Drosophila melanogaster: one gene and its partners. The gene in region 1 interacts genetically with each later gene. Each region holds a gene or a part of one and is shown in the gene's direction. Other genes may lie near its edges. The genes, in order: Tsc1, nero, S6k and Akt.

What was found.
Region 2: of Tsc1 (region 1) and nero, changing one suppresses a phenotype caused by changing the other (phenotypic suppression), as found in Drosophila melanogaster (one study listed by BioGRID).
Region 3: of Tsc1 (region 1) and S6k, changing one suppresses a phenotype caused by changing the other (phenotypic suppression), as found in Drosophila melanogaster (one study listed by BioGRID).
Region 4: of Tsc1 (region 1) and Akt, changing one suppresses a phenotype caused by changing the other (phenotypic suppression), as found in Drosophila melanogaster (2 studies listed by BioGRID).

The regions. Positions count from the first base shown.
Region 1 is NT_033777.3:24,128,443-24,135,197, forward strand, and holds Tsc1 (Tsc1), read left to right. Parts: upstream 1-1,864; 5' UTR 1,865-1,962; intron 1,963-2,053; 5' UTR 2,054-2,223; coding exon 2,224-2,317; intron 2,318-2,377; coding exon 2,378-2,634; intron 2,635-2,695; coding exon 2,696-5,006; intron 5,007-5,063; coding exon 5,064-5,221; intron 5,222-5,347; coding exon 5,348-5,477; intron 5,478-5,534; coding exon 5,535-5,887; 3' UTR 5,888-6,212; downstream 6,213-6,755. Other genes in the region: GatB (Glutamyl-tRNA amidotransferase, subunit B), read right to left, coding at 57-180, 244-380, 450-874, 930-1,245, 1,310-1,423, 1,482-1,626, 1,680-1,741; Sec10 (secretory 10), read left to right, coding at 6,472-6,504, 6,565-6,755.
Region 2 is NT_033777.3:31,745,922-31,749,435, reverse strand, and holds nero (nero), read left to right. Parts: upstream 1-1,877; 5' UTR 1,878-1,960; coding exon 1,961-2,869; 3' UTR 2,870-2,991; downstream 2,992-3,514. Other genes in the region: CG1910 (uncharacterized protein), read right to left, coding at 1-229, 1,350-1,430; awd (abnormal wing discs), read left to right, coding at 3,493-3,514. UniProt on the Drosophila melanogaster protein: Catalyzes the hydroxylation of the N(6)-(4-aminobutyl)-L-lysine intermediate to form hypusine, an essential post-translational modification only found in mature eIF-5A factor.
Region 3 is NT_037436.4:5,807,917-5,812,862, reverse strand, and holds the start of S6k (ribosomal protein S6 kinase), read left to right. Parts: upstream 1-1,931; 5' UTR 1,932-2,462; coding exon 2,463-2,573; intron 2,574-4,874; coding exon 4,875-4,915; intron 4,916-4,946. Other genes in the region: mad2, read left to right, coding at 2-148, 210-613; kri (krishah), read right to left, coding at 788-798, 945-1,477, 1,543-1,784.
Region 4 is NT_033777.3:16,097,553-16,105,239, forward strand, and holds the start of Akt (Akt kinase), read left to right. Parts: upstream 1-1,675; 5' UTR 1,676-2,108; intron 2,109-3,207; exon of another isoform or gene 3,208-3,227; intron 3,228-3,347; 5' UTR 3,348-3,391; coding exon of another isoform or gene 3,392-3,634; coding exon 3,635-4,174; intron 4,175-4,242; coding exon 4,243-4,440; intron 4,441-4,505; coding exon 4,506-4,895; intron 4,896-4,958; coding exon 4,959-5,192; intron 5,193-5,260; coding exon 5,261-5,407; intron 5,408-5,478; coding exon 5,479-5,562; 3' UTR 5,563-7,687. Other genes in the region: Mhcl (myosin heavy chain-like), read right to left, coding at 1-36. UniProt on the Drosophila melanogaster protein: Serine/threonine kinase involved in various developmental processes. During early embryogenesis, acts as a survival protein. During mid-embryogenesis, phosphorylates and activates trh, a transcription factor required for tracheal cell fate determination.

The DNA.
Region 1 (6,755 bases):
TGATGGGAAGATAATGTGTGTAATCTCATAAATTTGGAATATTAGGCGAAGCTTACCTCACTGACTTTCGCTTTGGGGTTATTATGAAGCAGATCAACCAGCTGACGTGCTGCCTGGAGATTTATCAGCTCGGCATGCAAGCTCATTAATATATCTTTCAAATCATCAGCCTTAATGGAGCTACATTAGGATGAACACAATAAATTAGTAAAATTCATTAGGTATGTTACTCCCTATTATTACCAATCCTCCACATCTAAGTTCAATTTGTTGCAATAGGTCAACAAATCGTTTATAAGAAAATTGCAAATGACTTTGTTGGGCAAATCACTTAAACTACGGGTAATGCTCAAGAAATGATCCAGCAGAATAGGTTCGTTCTGAAATAAAATCGAGGAGTGTTGCAATTTCAAATTTTTTGTTGACTCAAAAAGGATCAGAGCACGCACCACTAAAATGATGGCAGTTTCCGCATTCAGGTTGTGCTGCTCCACCAAACGTTGCCTGGTGTCCTCTGGTAATTCTGGAATTTCCTCGCTTAGAGCAGCCACTGAAAGTAAATCCTCTGTTGACATTGATCCAGGCTTTAGGTTTACATGAAGGGGTGGTAGATTCGGCTCCGGCATGAATCTGTAGTCCTGCAGCACCTCTTTGTCACGCATGGCCACTGTGCGCCGGTTCTCCGCATCCCAGTTGCGAGTCTCATTTGTAATTACACCGCCATTAGCCACAGTTTCTAGCTGTCTATTAATTTCATACGTAATTGCTTGCGAAATGCTTCGAACCGAGCCAATGTTTTTTACTTCGGTGCGGACTCCCAAGGGATCGCCTTCTTGGTGAATGGATATGTTGGCATCCACACGCAGGGCGCCCTCTACAATAAAAAATACTCGGTTTAAAAAAAGGCACACAAATCCCTTTTGACTCACCTTCCATTTTACAACTGCATGTCTGCAGACGCCTTAGTATCAGTATTAATTCCTTGACCAGCGATGCCGCTTCTTCGCCCGTTTCTAAATCTGGTGCAAAAACCAGCTCCATTAGAGGAAGTCCAGCACGATTAAGGTCAACCAGGCTCCTTTTGAGATAATCATCGTGCAGAGATTTACCACTATCCTGTTCCAATTGCAACTGCAGTAGTTTGGCGGTCTTGTAGTAAACTTTTTTGCCTGGTGTTATCACGGGGAAAGTCATTTTTCCATCATTGGCCAAAGCGGCGCGCTGCTGCGTGATTTGGTAGCCATTCTGGGGAGGAGAAGTTTATTACTTATAAGGCTTAGCGTGGTGTAAACTGAAATTTGAATCTTACAGGCAAATCTGCATAGAAGTAGTGCTTGCGGTCAAACATGGACACTTCGTTCACCCGACATCCCAAAGCAAGTGATGTCTTAATGCCGGATTCCACACATTTTCTGTTGAGAACCTAAAAGCAGAGGATACAATGTAATGATGGCGTCTTAAGTGAGAGTACCTATTCTCACTGGCAATGTTCCCGGTATGGAGGCATCAAAATACGCCACCGAAGAGTTAAGTGGTGCTCCAAAGGATGTGCCACTGCCGGAAAACAGTTTGGACGCACTGGCAATCTGTGCGTGCACCTCCAAACCCACAACGCTTTTCCATTTCCTGAAATTCAGAGCGTTGGAATGAATCCTTATAATATTAATTCACATAATTACCTTTTGGGAACGTTGGCTAGCTTTGGCGCCGTTACCAGTTTTCGGATTATTGAGTAATGCATTATTTTACATCGATTATAACATTCGCACCGGAATTGGCAAAAAGTTGCGCCAAAACAGCTGATGTTGTTTTGATTGCGGCCAAAGCTGCCGGACATTCGCCAGCGGCGTTGCCAGACAAAACCATCGATTGGCTGGCGATAACAGCGCAAGAGGAATATCACAAAAAAATAACCTTTTCATTTTCAAGACAAACATGTAAAAAAATATGAGTTTAGCAGAGGTAAGCATTTTAAATGTGCACTCCACAACCGAAACAATAGTGCAGTGCATCGAACGCAGTGGGAATTTCAATGCCAACCCTTGTTCTCCAGTTCACAGCGACCAAGACGAGAAAAAGCACACGCAGCTCTGCAAAAGACAACCACGACGACGAGTGAGTGGAGTAGAAGGACCAGGAGCGGAGTAGCAGGAGCAGGAACAGTCGACCGAGGGCGGGCGGAAAAATCAATCATAGCGACAGGAAACCAATAAAGCCGCCGTCATGGTGATTGAGAAGATCATTGGTGACCTGGAGTCCAACATGACGCTGGAGAACGAGGAGGCCAAGCGCAAGCTTGTGGAGTTGCTATCCCAGAGTGAGTCCTCGCCAGTTTCAGTTAATATGCCACCTATTCCAACATACCATTTCCCCACAGACAAGGAGCAGTGGGTGGTAAAGTTCATGCTGGACTACTTCTTTACAACTGGATCTCAGCGCATTTTGGAGGTACTGGTCAAAGCCCAGGCACCTCACGATGGGTACATCTTTGACAAGCTGGACGACTGCCTAAAGCAGTCGCAGCACCGAGTGCAGAGCCTCCAGGTGTTCTGCTTCATTGTGCGCCATCACCCTACTTGGCTGTACAAGATCGAGAAACACCGGCTGATCAAAAGTGTTTTTAAGCTTATGACGGTGAGTTTATGGGTGTTTACAATTTTGTCCGAGTTCAGCATCACTTCCATTTCTCTGACAGCACGAGAAGGAGATAGTTCCGCTGATGAGCGCCCTGTTGTGCATAATTACTCTGCTGCCGATCATACCGAATTCTGTGCCCAACTTTCTTAACGATCTGTTTGAGGTGTTCGGGCATTTGGCCTCGTGGAAGCTGCAGAATAGCAATAAACTGCCGGACGAGAAGCTCGTCCACCTGCAGTTGGGTCTACAGATGCTATTTCACCGCCTGTACGGCATGTATCCGTGCAGCTTTATTGCCTATTTAGTGGAGTTCATCAAGCGAGGCAACGGCGGGGGCATCTTCCAGCATACAATCAAGCCGCTGTTGAACACTGTGCGAGTGCATCCCATGCTGGTGACGGCCACGCCAGAGACTGAGGTAAACAATACGCGATGGAAGGAGATGGAGCCGCATGACGTGGTTATGGAGTGCGCCAACCTATCGCTGCCCGTCCTCTTGCCCGAGACGAGCAACGAAGACGGCAGCTATGCGTATCCCATGACGCCAGGATACAGTCGCATGACTTCAAATACCTCGAATACGGACTACAGCTATCAGCTGAGGGAGTTTCAGCAATCGAGAAATGTCTACACCCGCTTCGATTCGTTTGCCTCGGGTGATGATGTGGGTCCGATCTGGAGTCCGCATAACGAGATTGCCACGACCAGTAGCGGCATACCGCTTACACCCACCACATCGTTTATTTTGCCACTACAACCGGCTATGAACTCTCAGCTTATGGTTGGCATGACTGGCTCCTCACCGCCCGAAGCAGCTGTGGAGGCCACACCGGAAACCACCCCCTTAAAGGATATGAGGGATATCAAGCAGCCGGGACGTGCGGTCAATTCGCATGCTGTGAGAGCTATCTTCGCCGTAAGCCAGCCTTCTTCACCCATGCGCAAGGACCAGCAGAGTCAGTTCAGTTTCCCGGATGTCTCTCGCGAGGCGGAGGAGAGCAGCCACTCATATCTGGAGGTCAACAGAGGAACTGCCTATGACCGTCGCCTGTCGCAGGTCATCCAGGACAGGCATAACGTGGAGCGATCTGTAAACACACCTTGTCCAAGCAGCCTGCCAGAAATTAACTCCGATTTATCCCTTGTTGGTGGTTCCGTCTATCCATCTGTCACGCAGGAGGTCGCTGCAGTTTGTGGCGAGTGCAACGAGACGGATAGGAACCTCTGCAGTGTGGGTGGACTTCATATGCCCACCAGCCGATCCATGCACCAGCTGGCAAAGAAGCGCCGCAATCGTATGGCAAGCTACAGTGGAAATGGTTCCTGTGCGGACAGCAGAAGTTCGGCGGCAAAGAAGGCAAGTTGGAGTACTGAGGCAGAGAACCCAATGCGACGAACCAAATCCTGCTCGGCCCTTTCCGGAATGCGGCAGCAGCATCTGGAGGAGAATGATGACGAGGCCGATTGTTCGAGCCAAAGACAAAGAGGGGAGAATGGAAATACGCAAAAGACTGGCAGCCGCCTGCAGAGGAGCGGCCGGAACCTGGCCATTTCGGCGCCCAAGGATACGGCTAGAAGCTGCACCCATGCCTCCACCCAGACGGTGGAAGGACTGGACAGTGCTCCAGCGCAGTACGAGAATTGGCTTATTGAACTCCTGCTGGAGTGCAAGGAGCAAAGAATCGACTATGAAAGGAACCTTCTGTACCCGCAAGATATTCTAGACGAATACATTAAGCATGCGATCAAGGCCAATGAGTCCTTTGACGCCGAGCAGGGTCAACTGATGTGCCTACAGCTGGAATACGAAAGCTACCGTCGATCCATTCACGCAGAGCGCAATCGACGACTCATGGGGCGAAGCAGGGACAAGCGCAGCCTGGAAATGGAGCGGGATCGGTTAAGGGAGCAGCTTAAGAACTTCGATGCGAAGAACAAGGATCTGGCAAACAAAATGGATCAGGCCATTCGGTTGGCCAACGAGCGCCAGAACATCCACCAGGAGGAGCTGGGCGAAATGAGGGCTAAGTACCAGCACGAACTGGAGGAAAAGAAGTGCCTGCGGCAGGCAAACGATGACCTGCAGACGCGACTCACCAGCGAGTTGGCGCGCCACAAGGAGATGAACTATGAACTGGAGTCTCTGCGAGGTCAGGTCTTCAGTTTGGGAACCGAGCTTCAACACACCCAGCAGCAGGCGGACATTGGGCTGCAGTGCAAGCAGGAGCTGGCACGACTGGAGGCCGAGTTTATTATCATGGGTGAGGTGCAAGTGCGTTGCCGCGACCGTCTGGCTGAGATCGATAACTTCAGGGCCCGCGACGAGGAACTGCAGATGCTACAAGAGAGCAGCAACCTGGAACTGAAGGGTGCCTATTCATTGTTTATATGATACGGATGTTTAATCATTCAGTTTATTTATTAAGATCTGAGGCACAGCCTGGACGAGAAGACATCACAGCTGGAAAGCATGAAGCACAAGATCAGCGACCTGCAGGCCCAGCTAGCCAACAGCGAGAAGGCCATGACGGAGCAAAAGCGACTTCTAAGCACCGTCAAGGATGAGTACGAAGAAAAGTTTAAGGTAGGGCTGATATTTAAAATCGTATACTTATCTGAAATAGTTCGGACTTTTAAGAAATAGTCTGTGTTTACCAGTAACTTCATTTCAATTAAGAGTAATAAGCCTTAAAAATCGTCGTCCTTGCAGTCCGTGAACAAGAAGTATGACGTGCAAAAGAAGATAATTATGCAGATGGAGGAGAAGCTGATGATGATGATGCAGCAGCCGCAAGGAACAACAGGTCATAACACCTGTTCCCCGGACACGGACAGAACTGGTGAGTGCAAGAGCTGCTTCGCAGCTAAAGAATACTTACTATTGCATTCTCCCACAGACATAGCTTCATCCATTGAACGCAACTCACCGCTATCCACGTCGCTGGCCTCGAGCGAGAGCTTATCCGCCAGCCTACGCTCCACGGAGCTGAAGAACCTGCACCAGCTAGTGGACACGCCCACTATTCCGGATGTGCTGAACAGCATGGCCGGTGGCGCTCAGTTCGAGGACGAAGTGCGTCCGCCGGCCGTGGATCTGGCCTCCTCGGCAAGCACCGCCAGTGCCATCAACATCGTGCCGCACGCCTTGGACTTGCCGTCGACCTCCGGCGGCATCGGTCACACGCTCACCCACCCACATCCGCATCCGCACCTGCACCTGCAGCAACAGCAACAGGATCAACTGCAGTAGTAGCAGCAGACGCAGTTTGTAAAAACAAATAAGAACTAGCTTTCCTTCGCTAAACAAATGTCTATTGGGAAAACCCGCACAGAAAATTTACAAAAAAAAGTTATTGGTTCTTCATATTTTCATATTCAGTTCAAAACTGTAACTAAGGTTTAATAAATCGCTGACTCCACGCAATAATTATAAAGGTTATAAAAAATATTAATGTTTGAAATTTTAACTTGTTTAGCACATTGCAATTTGTTGTAAAAAAGTGGTTTTGATACGAGGCAATAAGTAAGACGCGCATTCATATTATAATAAACATTTGATTAAGATCAGCAAACATAAAAGCATTGTTTTATTTTATTTAATTGTAAACATACTATTTGTTATATAACAACCGCCAAACATTTAAATTTTAGCTAAGAGAGCAAACAAAAACGTAAACAAACCGAGCGACATTGCCAGCTGAAAGAAAGTGAGAAGTGTGGCAACCTTAAACGAAACAGCTGAGCGGAAGCAACAATAATATAGAAAGAAGAAGCAGAAAAGAAACGCCTATTAAATCAGATCATTTAAATACGAAAACTTAATAATACATTAAAATGCTATCCCAATACATGGAGGAGTTTGAACAGGTGGGCTCAAAGGTCACGTAGGCCCGATTATGGCTTATATTTATTAATCATAACCAACAGGAACCCTTTGAGGTGGGCGAGTTCATAGAGCGTCTGACTTGGCGCACCAACAATGAACTCCAGAACAGCGAGGACTTTCATCCTGTGGCCCTCCACGATACCTTCATCCAGACCATTAAGGACCTAAAGATCCTGCAGGAGAAGCAACAAAGCAAGTGCGAACGGCTAGAGGAGTCACTGCGCCAGGAGAA
Region 2 (3,514 bases), 7.6 Mb from region 1:
CTCCGCGTCCCTTTCCTGCACTGGCCTTTGTGGCCGAGGCCGGCGAAGTGCGCGCCTTTTTGCTGGGTGGCGGCGTCACTGCCTCGGCGGCTCGCGTCGGCGTTCCTCGAGTGCTAGACCGCGTCCGCCGCCCGCCCGCCAGCTCCAGGCTTCCGCCCATTGTTCGCACAAGCTCCTCGCTTTCCTTCTGCGCCCGCTCAATGAACGAGCGGCGTTTGGGAGTGCGTTTCTGTAATAGAGGAGAGATCGGGTTCGGTAAGTTATATTTCAGTATACATAAGCAGTAGTGCTACTTTTGTAAGTTTGATTTCCCGCCAAAACGCAATTGTCTTTGAGGGAATGAAGATGCTATTTTACGCCTTTTTTTTATTTTTTTAATATACCTGATATTCCATATTTTTCTGATTCACTAATGTTTCGTCATATGAAACATTGTAGTTAAAAGTGCATTCCCTATAACACCAAAACATGTGCAAGATGGGCTGAAACCACGGCGCTTTATTAGTGACTCAAAAATACAATTATATAGAAGAAACAGAATCATGTATTTATATTTAAACTCTTATCGGCAATAATTAAGCGTTTAAATCCAAGTGCGCACTGTACTATTGTTGACATGGCCAAGTGACCGCAGCAATTGCACCCGCATCGACCCGCTTGCAGCTGAATTCACACAACAGACCCCAAATGAACCCCCACATTAATAGCTGTCGATCGGAGGAGTTGAGTTAGACATCGATGTGTACGTACGTATATCTATTAGTAAAGTCGCCGCTAAAAAATGGAACCGAATCTAGAGCGCAACGTATCGCATACATACACATGCACAACACCGCGGAGCGGATGCAAGTGTTCGTGCCGCCTTGTATGACAAAGTACAGCAAACAACAAAAAGTCGAAAAGGGAACAAGCAAAAATAAAAACAAACGAGACGCGGCGGCAGCGGCAAAACGTGAGCCTGAAAGGGAATCGCCGATTGCCCTGCTTCTCTCGTCATCTCCTCTTCTCTTCTTCTTCGGCGAGTAGCTACACACGTATACACACACGCACACATGCTGCTGGCTTCCTCAGCAGGCGGGGGAAGGGGGAGTTGGAAAGTGGACAGGAAAAAGCAAAAAGCGCGCGCACACGAGGGTAGCCGTTGAAAAAAGAAACGTAAATAGAAACGGACACAGCGCACAAAGGGAAATGGTGAAAATGCACCACATCCGAGTGCCCATATACACACACAGTTATTTTGGAAAAATACCGCAGATAATTCGGGCAAAGCAAAGCGGAGCCCGTGTTGGTGTGCGTTATCGCCGTGCTATGTTAATTGTCGCTAAATATGTGTATGTGCGGCTACTTACGGGAGTCTGCTTCTCGTCCCCCGTCGACGCATTCACATCTTCCACCGCCTCCGGCTTTTGGGCCACAGTTGCCTCCGACATTGTTTAAAATAAACGCTGGGCGGTTATCCCTATATCTTTCCAAAACTTCAAAACGGTGGCGAGGTTTACTCCACTTCCACTCTCGCAGGCGCACACAATTACAGGTAACTCAACTCGACACACACGCCACGCTTCGCATACCGTGAACGCGCAACTTTCAGAAATGCCGATTTTGCGGAAACTTTTCACCGTGAAGAGCCGCTCTTTTGGTCACCGATGCTGCGCCAGGACTGAGTCAGTATTTTTGAATACTTTCTGTGTCTAGAACGTTCGCTTTTCACCCTTTTATTGACTTTTTTGTATCGCGCTTCTACGGAGTAAACGTAACTAAACTGCTTCTTGCTAGTGCTGCACAATTTGTACTCTAAACGCGTTGGCAGCGCCGTTTCATCGACTCATAGTCCATCGATAGCCACGTCATATCGATTACTTGTAGTTTTGGTATTACCAAGTACTGAGTGTATGGCCACATTGCGACACCACACGCGGCCCGTTGCAGTTTTTTATTTATAAGTCCACACCGCATACAAATGGTTTCGCAGCAGCAAATCGAGGCCATTGGAGGCGTTCTGAACAACAAGGAACGCCCACTGAAAGAGCGCTTTCGAGCCCTCTTCACGCTGAAGAACATCGGCGGAGGAGCGGCCATCGAGGCGATCAGCAAAGCCTTTGACGATGATTCGGCCCTTCTCAAACATGAGCTGGCCTACTGCTTGGGTCAGATGCAGGACGCACAGGCGTTAGACATCCTCACCAAGGTGCTAAAGGACACCACCCAGGAGCCGATGGTGCGCCACGAGGCTGCGGAGGCCATGGGCGCCATTGGTCATCCAGATGTGCTGCCAATTCTGGAGGAGTACAAACAAGATCCGGTAGTGGAGGTGGCCGAAACATGTGCCATTGCTCTGGACCGCGTCCGCTGGCTGCAGAGTGGCCAAAAGGTAGATGACAGCAACCCTTACGCCTCCGTTGATCCCTCACCGCCAACTGCGGGCGACAAGAGCGTCACCGAGCTGAAGGCCATCTATCTGGATGCCCAGCAGAGCCTGTTCGATCGATATAGGGCCATGTTCAGCCTGCGCAATCTGCGCACCGAAGAGAGTGTCTTGGCCATTGCCGAGGGACTTAAGGACTCTTCCGCCCTCTTCCGCCACGAGGTGGCCTTCGTACTGGGCCAGCTGCAAGAACCCTGCAGCATTCCCTTCCTTCAAGAGAATCTGGAGGATCGCCTGGAAAACGAAATGGTGCGTCACGAGTGTGCCGAGGCCCTTGGCGCCATCGCCACAGAGGACTGCATTCAGATCTTGAACCGCTACGCCGAGGACGACAAGCGCGTGGTCAAGGAGAGCTGCGTCATCGCCCTGGACATGTGCGAGTACGAGAACAGTCCGGAGTTCCAATATGCCGACGGCCTAGCCAAACTAGACGCGACCAAGTGATTTTCGCCGAACATTTGCATCTACCAGCTGTGTATATATTAGTCGTAAACTTGTATTGTTTTGTCACTTCTGTGATCACATGGACCTAATCTTATCGAGACATAAAAAGAAATTTGAACGTGACTTCCCTGTGGTTTTTGATTAACCTGCTGGATGGATGAATCAACTGGTGGGAATGCTGATGCTAATGAGTGCCTAGTAACTATCCTAGTTTGACGGGCATTTTATCATCAACTGTGGGCAACTCTTTGTTTTTTTTTAAATGTTTTAATGTGTCTAGTAATTAAAAATAATACTATTGAGTTTTCGTTATTTTTGCTTTAAATTATTCGATGAAATGCATTCAGAATACATTCTGAAATTCAAAGTACAAGGCGACATGGCAGCCCCATTTGAGCGGTTATAAACTGAAAAAAATATGAATACTTTAGCAATGCACTCAAATTTCCGCTTTGGAATTTAAATAACAAGTATTTTCCTATCCTTTAAATCGCCCAACAAAAACAAAAACTCAAGAACGCGGCTGGCTGCCCAGTGTGACCACTTGACGATTTCCCACAATTCACCTTGCCGGCATTTCGTATTCGGGATTTTTTTGCAACGGCGAACACATGAAGCTCCTGATGCTCGGCACAATTTTGGCAT
Region 3 (4,946 bases), on another chromosome or scaffold:
GAGTACGGCATCAATTCGATCCTCTTCCAACGCGGAATTTACCCAGCCGAAGACTTTAACAACACGCAGCAGTATGGGCTAACCATTCTAATGTCCAAGGATCCCAAGATCAAGACCTTTCTGCAGAACGTGCTCAGCCAAACTGAAGGTTAGTGGTCTTTTGGAAAAAATTCAAGTTTATGGTGACCATTATTTGTATTCACCTATAGAATGGCTCTCGAAGAACATGATCAACAAGATCTCGATGGTCATTACGAACGCCCACACCAAGGAGGTGCTCGAGTGCTGGGACTTTAATATGCAGGCCGAGTTGGGCGATGGCGATATCAGTGATCCCACCAAGGCAACAACCACCAAGGAGCTGAGTCGCATACAGAACGAGATTCGCGACGTTATGCGGCAGATCTCGGCCACCGTGAGCTATTTGCCACTGCTCGATTGCATCTGCACCTTCGACATAATGATTCACACGCTGCAGAACACCGAATTACCGGCCAAATGGGACGAAACGGGTGCCATTGTCATACAGAATCCGCAGGCCGTCCAGCTGCGCTCCTTTTCTACAGGACTGCACAAGGTGGACACCGTGGTCAACTACAAGATGAGCACTTAAAAGGCAGTACCGCCTCATCCTAATGTTTAAATATTTATTTCGTTTCTATATTTACAATAGTGCGTAACGAACGTAACGTATTTGAGAGTTGCATTAAAAGCCAGTTGTGAAAAGCTAACAGTTGCTAAGTAGTAGTTTGGTTGGCCGCAGGGGTCGTCTATTTGTCTGTGTGTCTCAAATGCAATCTGGAGGACGAAACAGAGTGAGAGAGGGTAGCATTTGTTAGTGGAGCGCAACGCAGGAAAGGGCGTTTGTCTGGGCGACAGCTACCTATCCTAAGCAGCGCTTAGTCGTCAAGTCTGCGAGATAGACCCAAGTATCTAGTCTGTACCGAAGTATTTCTGGCCAAAGTGATTAGGTGCCACGGGATGCAGCTCGGAGGTGAGGATCTTCAGCTTGGGGAAGGCATTCACTACGGTCCGAGCGGCAATGGGTGTGCAGAAGAGATTGGACAGGATGATGCAGCTCTCGGGTACGCCGTGTTCCCGCAGCACATTCACCGCCTGCAGCACAGTGTTGCCCGTGGACATGATGGGGTACATGAGTAGCACCTGCCTGCTGCCGATGTCATCGGGAAAGCGGGCATAAACCACGCGGGCCTCATGCGTATTGGCATCGGACTCGACCAGGATCTTTCCAATGCGAATGGAGCGACAGCAGTCACGCAGTCCCTGCTCCATGGCCTCTCCCGATCGGATGATGGACACGCCGCAGTTGCCGGAGCGATACTTCAGTCCCTCGTAAATCGCACCGGTGGGCGTCTCCACATCGCAATGGGTGTAGGGCAGTTGGTTGAGCGACTCCTCGATGACCAGCCGGATGAGACGGTCGGCATAGAACTTGAAGTCACTGCGCGTGGTGTTCCTGGGGGGTAGAATTTTGTTGTACTGCTACTACGCTGCTGACTCCTCCTCCCCAACGTCACCTACTTGTCGCGCAATATGGTCAGCAGTTCGGCCACCTGGGAATTGCACTCGAGTAGCTTCAGGTTGCTGCCGTACTCCGCCAGGATCTCCTCCGATGTGGCAGCTGGCACCGCGGCATGTGCATGCGTGGGAGTGTGCAGCTGTTGCTCCTGCTCCTGGGCTTCCTGCTGCGGCTGCTGGTGATCTGAGGAACTGCTGCCCTCCTCCGACTGGGAGCCGCTGCTGCTGGGCGAGCCGGTGCGCATGACTCGGCTATTTGGTTGCTATCACTGGCTACATAAAATAAATAAATTAAAAGAATTGTACGTAGCACTTTGTCCTCCTAGCGCGTGCTTGGCTTGCTACGGCCACACTTTGTCGCGGCATTGCCGTTCGTTGCGCCTCGGTAATTTCTAGCAATTGGCAGTTAGCGCACGACTGGCCACACTCAGCAAATCACCTCGTGTTTCACTCGCAAACAAAGAAAAAAGTGCATTTTAATTACTGATTACTGCATTGCGATTAGGCGTTCGCGAACAACAACGTTTTCTTGCACATCAGCGGACTCAAAGGGCGCGCGTGGGCAAGGCATTGAGCACAGTGTCTGTGTGCGTGAGTGTGGGTGCGTTGTGCGTGCGTCGCAGTGTTGGTGCGTGTGCCCCCATGTGTGTGTGTATTTGTATTGCCATTAACTAATAAACAATAACCTTCGGGCCACGACGAAAGCCACGAAATCGGCACCGCTGCTGTTCTGTTCTGTACTGTTCCATCTGAACCAACCAGCTGAACAAGGAGACTCATAGCCAGAGACTAAAATAAATCGCCAACGCGCTTCCGCCCCCCCGCGAGAGGAGCGCCCAGTTCAGGAGCGGACCAGCGGCGATCCACTTCCCATATCCATATCCAAACAGAATCGCACTCGCCCAAACACACACACGCACGCAATGGCGGACGTGAGCGATCCCAGCGAACTGTTCGACCTGGAGCTGCACGACCTGGAACTGCAGGACGACAAGGCCAGGGACTCCGACGACGACAGGATCGAGCTGGACGATGTAAGATATAGCCCCCATTCCATGCCATCCCGTGCCAATGCGTGCCGCACCATCCCCCGATGCAAACTGCGCAGCAACAATTTCCCTCTTTGTTTACCTTTTCTGCGCTTTGTCTGCCAGTTTTCCTTTCGCTCGTCTGGGCATCCCGATTCCACACCCCCGAACCAGCATATCCACCAGCCGCACACCCTGCAAACTGGGCTTATCTGCTGCGCAAATGTCTGGCGTCATTCGGTTTCAGTCCAGTCGCCGATTATTCAGCGCATGTACATGCGCTCACTCATTGTACCATAAGTTCGACTCGATCAGAGAAAACCTCCTTACGAAACCACCTTCGATTGATATGGGCCAATCGAAGCCAGTGGTGGTGTCCTTCAAACTAATCAGCCCCAATTGCCCGCCACACTCCATGGCAGCCCCCTGCTTGCCACCGCCCCTGTCTCAGCTGATAATGCAACAACTGCAAAGGTGGTGTGCGAAGGAGAGGGAGGCCCAAAATGAACGCCGACTCGCTCGCACTCTCGCAAGTGTCTTAGCTTCCACTTAGAAAACGAAATTCCTTATCAGCGTGCCATATAAAATTAGAAAATGAGAAAAACCTCCACGCGCCGATAAGGGAGCACAACAAAATGGAAGGAAAAAGGGCAGGCAGGCAGGCAGGCGATTGAGATCGAAATCGAGCGATCGTCGAGCCAAACCGTCGTGTTTGGGGTGGTGGTGCTATACGGAACCAGTTGTAACTGCACCACAGTACACTGGAAAAGAATATTAGTTTCCATAGTATGTAGTCATTAAGTACCGAATTACTGATTACTAATTGTGCTAATGAGCGGTTCTTAAATTGATAAGTTTGTATTTAAACGCTTAAATTACTTCCCGTATTCAATACTAGTCGCAATAAATGCATTTTGGCTAAAGCAAGTTGCTAAAACTCTTAATTCGAATATTAAAAGTTCTAAATTGGCCTGAAATATATGTAATTTAGCAACAATGTGTGTACATATGCCGTCATCTTATGATGTCAATTGATTTATTTTTAGACAAATTGTGTAAAGTAATGGCTTAAAAGTACGAAAATAATCTACTAAAAAGGGAGAGAATAGCTCTTGGGTAATTATCATTTTTCTTTGTGTATTATTGGTTTTGTCTGCCCGGGGGAATTACATAGCTGGAGAAACCTTTTCGGTGTTGATAAGAACCTATCACTACCATATCGCACACCTTTTCCAAGACCTGTCGATTTACTTGATTTACGCAAGCGCGCACACCCCCTCCCTCCGCCCATCCACTGACTTTGTATGAACGCTATAAATTATGATGGATTTGTTAATTGAAATTCACCGCCAACGCTGACGAGGTGAACCAGTTTTTAATGTGCTGCGCGACGAGATGTCGAGATGCGGATTCCTATTCCGATGCCGCCATTCAATTGAACTTTAGTCAAAAATGTTCTATACAAATTTTAGGCATGACGAGAACGACGACGGCGGCTGCGGCTGCTGCTGATTCTTCTGAATCTGCCGCCCCTAACTGTGGCCTTCCTCCGATTGGAGCAGCCGCGTCCGAGGGGGCGGCAAATGGACCCGGAGGGGACGAGGAACAGCGCCAGCATCGCCGGCAGATTATTTGGCATTGTTCCGAGTTCTAAATTTAGTTTGTCATTAAGCGAAAGGTGTGTGTGCGTGTGCGGAAAGTGTACGAATGTACATCTGTGTGGATGCCACGCTCTTTCTCTCTGTGTAAATACCGAATAAGCTCCGTGTGGAGTAGTGGACAAATCGAAGGGTGGTGGAGAAACTCACTGGCTTCACATACTCCAAAGACGGATGCCATCCGAGATCCCAGAGCGAGCCCCTACTACTACTCCGATGCGATCTCTCCATTCATCGGAATCTCCCGCTGCTTAAAACGAAACTGAAAAGTGGGGCAGCACCGAATGGGGATTAAGCATGCAACAAGAAAAATAAAATATAACGATATACGATTTCCCATTTTAGAACTGATTCTTGAGCTATTTTTATTACTAAAAAAGCATATTAAAATTGTGGGCTACTAGCTTTAAGCAACCCACATATATATTACTGCTGGTATAGGCTGATTTTGAAGTATCTGTAAGATTTAGGGCCTCTTGTCTTCGTCGATGCCCGGTGCTGTGTAACTTTCCCTTCTGCTGTTTGCTCCCAAGTTCGCAATAACTATGATTAATTGTTGATTTTTTCGCATGTATACCGCTGGCAGTTATGCTCGCAAGTAGACGCCATCTCACTCACACGCCTCTCCGTCTCTCTTTCGCATTTGCAGGTTGACCTAGAACCGGAATTGTGTATTAATCTGCACCAAGAGTGAGTAATGCCAGTGCTATGCCGCCACATC
Region 4 (7,687 bases), 8.0 Mb from region 1:
CTCATCCCCAGCGCTCTTCTTCATAAAGTTGAACATCTTATGTGGTGTGTGGGGTCCTTAGGTGCTAGCTGCGGAAGGGGGGCGTTGGTGGGTTAATGCGAAGTTCAAGGGCGTGACCAAAAGTCTGGACTAATTCGATTTGCACTGTTCTCTTTGCTGCGCTCTATCCAGGGGTGGATCTAGACAAACGTGCAGGGCATACCGTTCATTTCCAAACTTGAAATTACAACTTACATTTTTAAAATCAGTAACACAATTTTAATTCACTGAATAGTTTAAAGTACGGTATTTATGTGATTTGATTTTACAAAAACATTTAAGGTGCCCATAATCCACGTTTAAGGTCCCCTGGATTTCGCCCCTGTACTGCTCAGTCCTGTTCTCTTCGTATTGCTATCTCGCTCTTACAATTGCACAGCCACTTCGAGCAATGCACCCGCCCGCACAACAACCGTTATCTTGCCACGGTGTTTGTGTGAATGTGCACATTTGCAAATCACATAAACAATGGCATATTTCTTCACTTTTGCACCCACATTTCTTCTGCTGCGGTGGCGGCTTTACTTTTGTCATTGAGTCGTTGCCATTTGCCCTGTTTCTGTTATTATTTATTATTCAATTATGCGCTTTCTTTTCCACAGCTAGCATACATTTGTTTTGTTTTCACACGGTAACACACACACACACAAAGAAAGGGGGGCTCGTGGCTGCGTTGGTATTGATTGCTCGAGACTGCACTCTTCCCTTCTCTCTACACCATCTCTTCATATTTTTCATTTCTCCAACTAATTGAATGCAACCGATTCTGCCTCATTACTTATGCTCATGCTTTTCCAATTGCTCATATTCGGCGAACGCTCTTATTCGGCCACAGCCCACAGTGATACACACGATAGGCAGAAAAAGAAAGTTGAGAGTCAATAACACCTTTGTTTTTGCACTTTTCTACGCCTTTTTTGATAACACACACAAACATTGGGAGGGACTCACGCACACACAGTCGCGCTGGAGTCGTTATTTGTTTATTTGAAAGTGGCATGCTATGTTCTCCCTTCCGATTGGGTTGCAAGTTATTTACCTCGTTTTGTGCCAATGGGGCACTTTATTCGCTACTCGTTTTTTGTTTTTTTTTCGGATTCAAAGGAGACTTCGCGTTCTGCATAAACAAATCTGAGCAAGAGTGCCCAAAGAGGTGAATATCAAATTTGATCTGGGAAACTGGAAAAGAGAACTGACTTTTTCTAGCTACTTACACATGGTCATACTTATCAGAGTATCTACTTAGTGCGGACAGGAACCATATATAAAATTGATAGGGCTTCCAAATTTTTGATCAATTATGCTTTGAAAAGTTATAACAATTTGTCGATATAAGAAATAGTTTTGTATACATAGCATATAAAATAAAGTTTTTAAAAATGAATTTAATAACAATACAGCATTATTATTAATCTGCAGTTCATACATTCAAATTTGAAGTGAATTCTAGTTAAAGAGTCGGCCTAGACAGTCAGAAAACAGAACTATTGCCTTCTAAAACATTTAATTTAAATTTAAGGGATATTTGCGCGTTGTACAGCTCTTAAATAATGTCTCTCTCTGGCATCTTTCCACCGTAACAGTCGCCTAACTATCGCTAAAACAGGTGGCAACGCGGATCGAATCAGTTATCGAGCCAGTTATCGAAAAAAAGTGAAGCGTAAAAACTAAACGGTACTTGGAAAATTTACTTTGCCTGTGTGCGTGCTTCTGTTTATGAAAACTACGTTTTTAAGCATTTGCAATTGATGCAACGTTGCTTTGGAAGGCAAGAAAACACCAAGTGGAAACGCCCGGGTGGCGGAAATCGACTTCCAGTGCGCGAGTGCGAGATTGTGTGTGTTTCGTTCCGTCCTCTGGTGTCTGGCACCTTAACACAACAACAACTACAGCAGCAGCAGCAACAACAACAATAGCAAGCAGCAACAACAACACACGCACAATAATAAGAAGGCCTGTGACGTTGTCGCTGCCGTCACCATCTAAAGGAAAATACCAAAACGAGTAGGAAAACAAACCGCAGTGCAGTAGGGAAAGCAAAAGTCGGGTTTTTTTTTTTACAAAACTAGGTGGGTTCTTGTATTTTTCACCAGCATTTCCACAATTTCCATTTCCACGAAGTGATTTGACATGTTGCGCTGCTAGGTCGCCGCTGCCCACACACACTCGCACACTCGGTGGTTCACTCACTCAGCCACTCACACCCACACGGCCAGACAATCACACGCACACGGCCAGACACTCACACATACACTCACACTCATACACCTTTGTGGCAGACACGCGTACTGTCTGTCTCCCTCCCCCTCGCACCCACAGTCTGGCCTCACTCGCACTTTGCAATGCAGCCCTGTCTGTGTGACTGCCTCGGTGTGCGAGCGCCTGTCCGCTTATGCCTGTGTGTGTATTTTGTCGATTTTTATTTTATGTACATTTGTTTACAGTTTTAGATAGATAGCGACATTTGTACAGCCGGCGGCCATCCGTCGTTGACATTTTCGCAAATTGTAAATGAATATGCTTTTGCTTTTGCAGTTGTGCCAGTGTGAGTGCGAGTACGAGTGCGAGTGCCGCCTGCGAGTCCCCTGTATGTGTACATATGTATATGTATGTATTATATATGCATATACATAAGTTCATGAACAGTCGCCGCCGTCGACTTGTTTTGATTTAATTTCGCGCTAAATGCAATCGCGAACAATTTTCACTCGTATCGCCGTGTCGCTGCGTAACATGGCGGGGAATTTCGTTTGAAGCCGAAAGTGGCAGCAACAACAAGGCGACGATGGCGCCTACATCTGCATGTGGGCCAGTGACTAAGAATCCAATCCCATACCATGCCACACCATACCAACCCATCCAATTCGATACAATCAGAATCACAGTCCTCAATCCAATTCAATCCCTTTCTGGCGACGGAAATGCCGCAAATGTTTTGCACCAGCTGCTGACGCAAGCGCCAACTGCATTTGTCATAAACATGCAAAATGACAATAACAATTGTTTACTATCAGCGTGAGATAGGCGATGTGGGAAGTATATATCTGGATAGACTTGGCAGCCTTTTAGTGTCTGTTTCCCCTTTTTTGATAGCTAGCTCATTTGGGAACTCCATTTGTCCACTTTGACTAGTTTATGTCGACAGTTGGCGGATCAGTTAATATCTAGTACATGTTGAATCCCTGAAGGTAAAGGTGTTACTAGACGAACCCTCTGCTAAAGCCTTTTTCTTTTCGTCGATCGCATTCTTAGTTTAAGTATTTCAAACTCAGCATGAATATAAAGGATTCACTGTACTCCTCTTACAGGTCCCTCATTAGCTTGTCCCTAGGGTTAGTGAAACAGCCTCAACACGAATTACCTACCGTTTGTTCTTCAGCGGCGATCGACTGTGGTTGCCAGCGCCCCAGCGCCAGGATCTGCCTCTAGGATCCCGGAATCGCCCACCACCACAGGGAGCAACATCATTAACATCATCTACAGCCAATCCACCCATCCAAACAGCAGCCCCACCAGCGGCAGTGCAGAGAAATTCAGCTGGCAGCAATCCTGGCCAAGCAGGACCTCCGCGGCCCCTACACACGATTCCGGAACCATGTCAATAAACACAACTTTCGACCTCAGCTCGCCCAGCGTTACATCGGGTCATGCGCTTACGGAACAGACTCAGGTCGTAAAGGAGGGGTGGCTGATGAAGAGGGGCGAGCACATAAAGAACTGGCGCCAGCGCTACTTCGTGCTCCACTCCGATGGAAGACTGATGGGTTACCGCAGCAAGCCGGCAGATAGTGCCAGCACGCCATCGGACTTCCTGCTCAACAACTTTACGGTGCGCGGCTGCCAGATCATGACCGTCGATCGGCCCAAGCCATTCACCTTCATCATCCGCGGCCTGCAATGGACCACGGTAATCGAAAGGACATTTGCCGTCGAATCAGAATTAGAGCGCCAGCAGTGGACGGAGGCCATTCGCAACGTATCCAGCCGGCTCATAGATGTGGGTGAGGTGGCTATGACGCCATCTGAACAGACAGACATGACAGACGTGGACATGGCCACCATTGCCGAGGACGAGCTTTCCGAGCAGTTCTCCGTACAGGGAACGACTTGTAATAGCAGCGGCGTTAAGAAAGTGGTAAGTACCACTCACCTGGTCATTGACCAAGGGCGTGATCGAGCTGACTCCATCTTATCTCCTTGTAGACTTTGGAGAATTTTGAGTTCCTCAAGGTGCTCGGCAAGGGCACCTTTGGTAAGGTTATTTTGTGTCGCGAGAAGGCTACCGCCAAGCTGTACGCGATCAAAATTCTTAAAAAGGAAGTTATTATCCAAAAGGACGAGGTGGCCCATACCCTGACCGAGAGTCGTGTGCTCAAGTCCACAAATCATCCGTTCCTCATTGTAAGTATTGCTAGTAATATATAATTTACGTTAAAAAACTAATATATGTCTTCCCTGTTTTGCAGTCACTCAAATATTCGTTTCAAACCAACGACCGCCTGTGTTTTGTGATGCAGTACGTGAACGGTGGCGAGCTCTTTTGGCATTTAAGCCACGAACGCATATTTACTGAGGATCGAACACGTTTCTATGGGGCAGAGATCATTTCTGCTCTGGGCTATCTGCATTCACAGGGCATAATTTATCGCGACTTAAAGCTGGAAAATCTTTTGCTGGACAAAGATGGTCACATAAAGGTCGCAGACTTCGGTCTGTGCAAGGAGGACATCACCTACGGCCGCACAACGAAAACCTTCTGCGGTACACCGGAATACCTAGCTCCGGAAGTATTAGATGACAATGATTATGGCCAAGCGGTGGACTGGTGGGGCACTGGCGTGGTCATGTACGAGATGGTGAGTTTGTTGCATCTGCAAATACTATTAACAAGTATTAAAAACAAAAATAATTCCTTACAGATCTGTGGTCGTCTTCCGTTTTACAATCGTGATCATGATGTGCTCTTTACATTGATTTTGGTGGAGGAGGTAAAATTCCCGCGTAATATCACAGATGAGGCGAAAAATCTGTTAGCAGGCCTTCTAGCTAAGGATCCCAAAAAGCGTTTGGGAGGTGGAAAGGATGATGTCAAGGAGATACAAGCACATCCATTCTTTGCGAGTATTAACTGGACAGATCTAGTGTTGAAAAAAGTAGGGCACAGTAAATCTGTCAGTTACCTATTCGTATATATTAATCGAATTTAAAATGCTTACCGTAGATACCGCCGCCTTTCAAGCCTCAGGTGACATCCGATACGGATACAAGGTACTTCGACAAGGAGTTTACGGGAGAGAGTGTGGAGTTGACGCCGCCGGATCCCACTGGCCCGTTGGGCTCCATAGCCGAAGAGCCGCTTTTCCCGCAGGTAAGATCTAGTTGAAAACATTTAAAGTGGGGTTCTGTATGCTCATCCAATTTTTGGTTTCACCGCCACAGTTCAGCTACCAAGGAGACATGGCCTCCACGTTGGGCACCTCGTCGCACATTAGTACTTCCACAAGTCTCGCATCGATGCAATAGAACAAGTTTACAAACTTTTACCAGCACACATCATGTTCTGCTTCATCACCTATTACTATACTATACCTATAACACATAGAAATGGGCAAAAGAAAACAACAGCAAGAATATATTAAATATTAATTATACCATGATAACGAAGGCAAGCAAAGGGTTTTCTTGCTAGTTTATATACACCAATAATAAGAGAATTGAATTGATAGTAACTTATTTTTGTATAATGAGAAAGGGAACGTTGAACGAAAGGGCAACAGCCGAAGCCGAGGAAAATAATTTACTACATATGATTATACACATATATATAAATATATATATATATATATATATAATTATATATACAACTAAATATAACACTTGGGGCATAGCGCTTGAAGTGATTAGTTAATTTTAAACGCAAGGAAAACATTTAACCAAGCGACTTAGAGCGACTTAGTGCTAGGATAAAGCATGCATCATCGGATCGCATCCTCTAGGGGTCGCTTAAGCTGATTGATTATACAGATTATTCACGCAGACAGCACTCACACAGCCACTTAGCATATAGCGAACATGAAGTTTAGTTAACTTGACAGCAACAAATCGAAATACACATATTCAACAACCGCCCCCACATGCAACACTCGTATATATAAATTATTTATACTCCAAAGAAGCAAAAAAGAAACAGAAACAATTACAAGTTATATATAATGTTAAAATTGCCTCTAATGTGCTGTGCTTTATGCAAAACTACAACAACAGAAACAAACAAACTAATAGTTAATAAACGAGGGAAACATACATCAATGCAGTTTATAGGCGCCAATAATTAGCAAGCAACTAAAAGTTATATTCAGGCAGAAACATATTTCGAAACAATAACGGCAACAGCAAAATGATTACAATTGACGCCATTTTTTATTATAATTTTTTACGAAAAATATATATTTGTAAATATTTATAAAAAAAAAGCAAAAACTCAAGAGTAAATGCAAAAAAAAAACAAAGGATGTATGTGTCGTGTGGAAAATGGAAGTCACCATTTGAGGCCACAGAAAAGGTTTAACCTTTGACACAATAAAAAATGTATCTTTGTCATTTCATTTTTGGCATTGAAAAGTTCATAACAAGTTTTGTATACTTAGAGCAAGTCAGCAAAAAATATATATAAATCAACCACAACAGACTTACAAATAGTTCCAAAAGGAAGATTAAAAATTATATAAACAGAAAAAAAACCTAAAAGAAAATAAAGAATTTTTGATATTTTTATATGCGCAATAAAAACAAAAATCAAGAATAAAACGAAACAAAAAGTTATTTTATATTTCGTAAAGAAAACAAAATAAATATTGTAAATAAAAATTATTAAATAAAATCAAGTTCGGGAATTTCAACTGAAAACAAAGAAATTGAAAGCATAATCTCTCTTCTAAATGTTAAACGAAACCTATCACTCGATGATTACAATAAACAGCAAATCGAAAACGAAGGGATATAGAAACGAAAAGAAAATGCCAAAGAAGCGGCGAAGTTAGGTGGAACTCGAGGAGAACCGAGAATTGAGGAGCCAGCAAGTCGGGATGTTTCGGTTGGAGTCTTGGACATGTGACGATGATGGTTCCAAATCATGACTAGGAACGAACTAACTAGCTAAAGCCAGCCTATGCTGAGGAGAGATATCAGATAGCTCCGATTGAACCAATCTTTATATCCTTGAACAGCTTAAAGTCCTTGCTTTCTGCTCACCAAGTTTGCGGCTGACATCTAGGCTAGCCAATATCAATCTCAGATCGATCAAGCAATACATAGACAAAATATAGAACCCCTAAGCATGGCTTAATAGACATACAACCCGAGAATCGACTTCAACAAGCCCAATAACCCTTCTGACAGACTCGTTAGGCAAGTCTGCCAGCCAAGGGGCAACCAGCTAGAAATCTAAAGCAAAGACTTAGAAATCGGTTAGGGACATCCGAAGCAAATTGAATACTAGCCTTAGTGAACGTCAACATCTCTGGTATCCCAAATCGAAGCATTTTCTACCCGTCGAAGGGGACGAAAGAGACCTTTCAAAATAGTTGTCTAAGTTTACTGAGTTGTGTGAGACAATTTTTGGTTTCGATTAAAAAAAAAAAAACAAAAA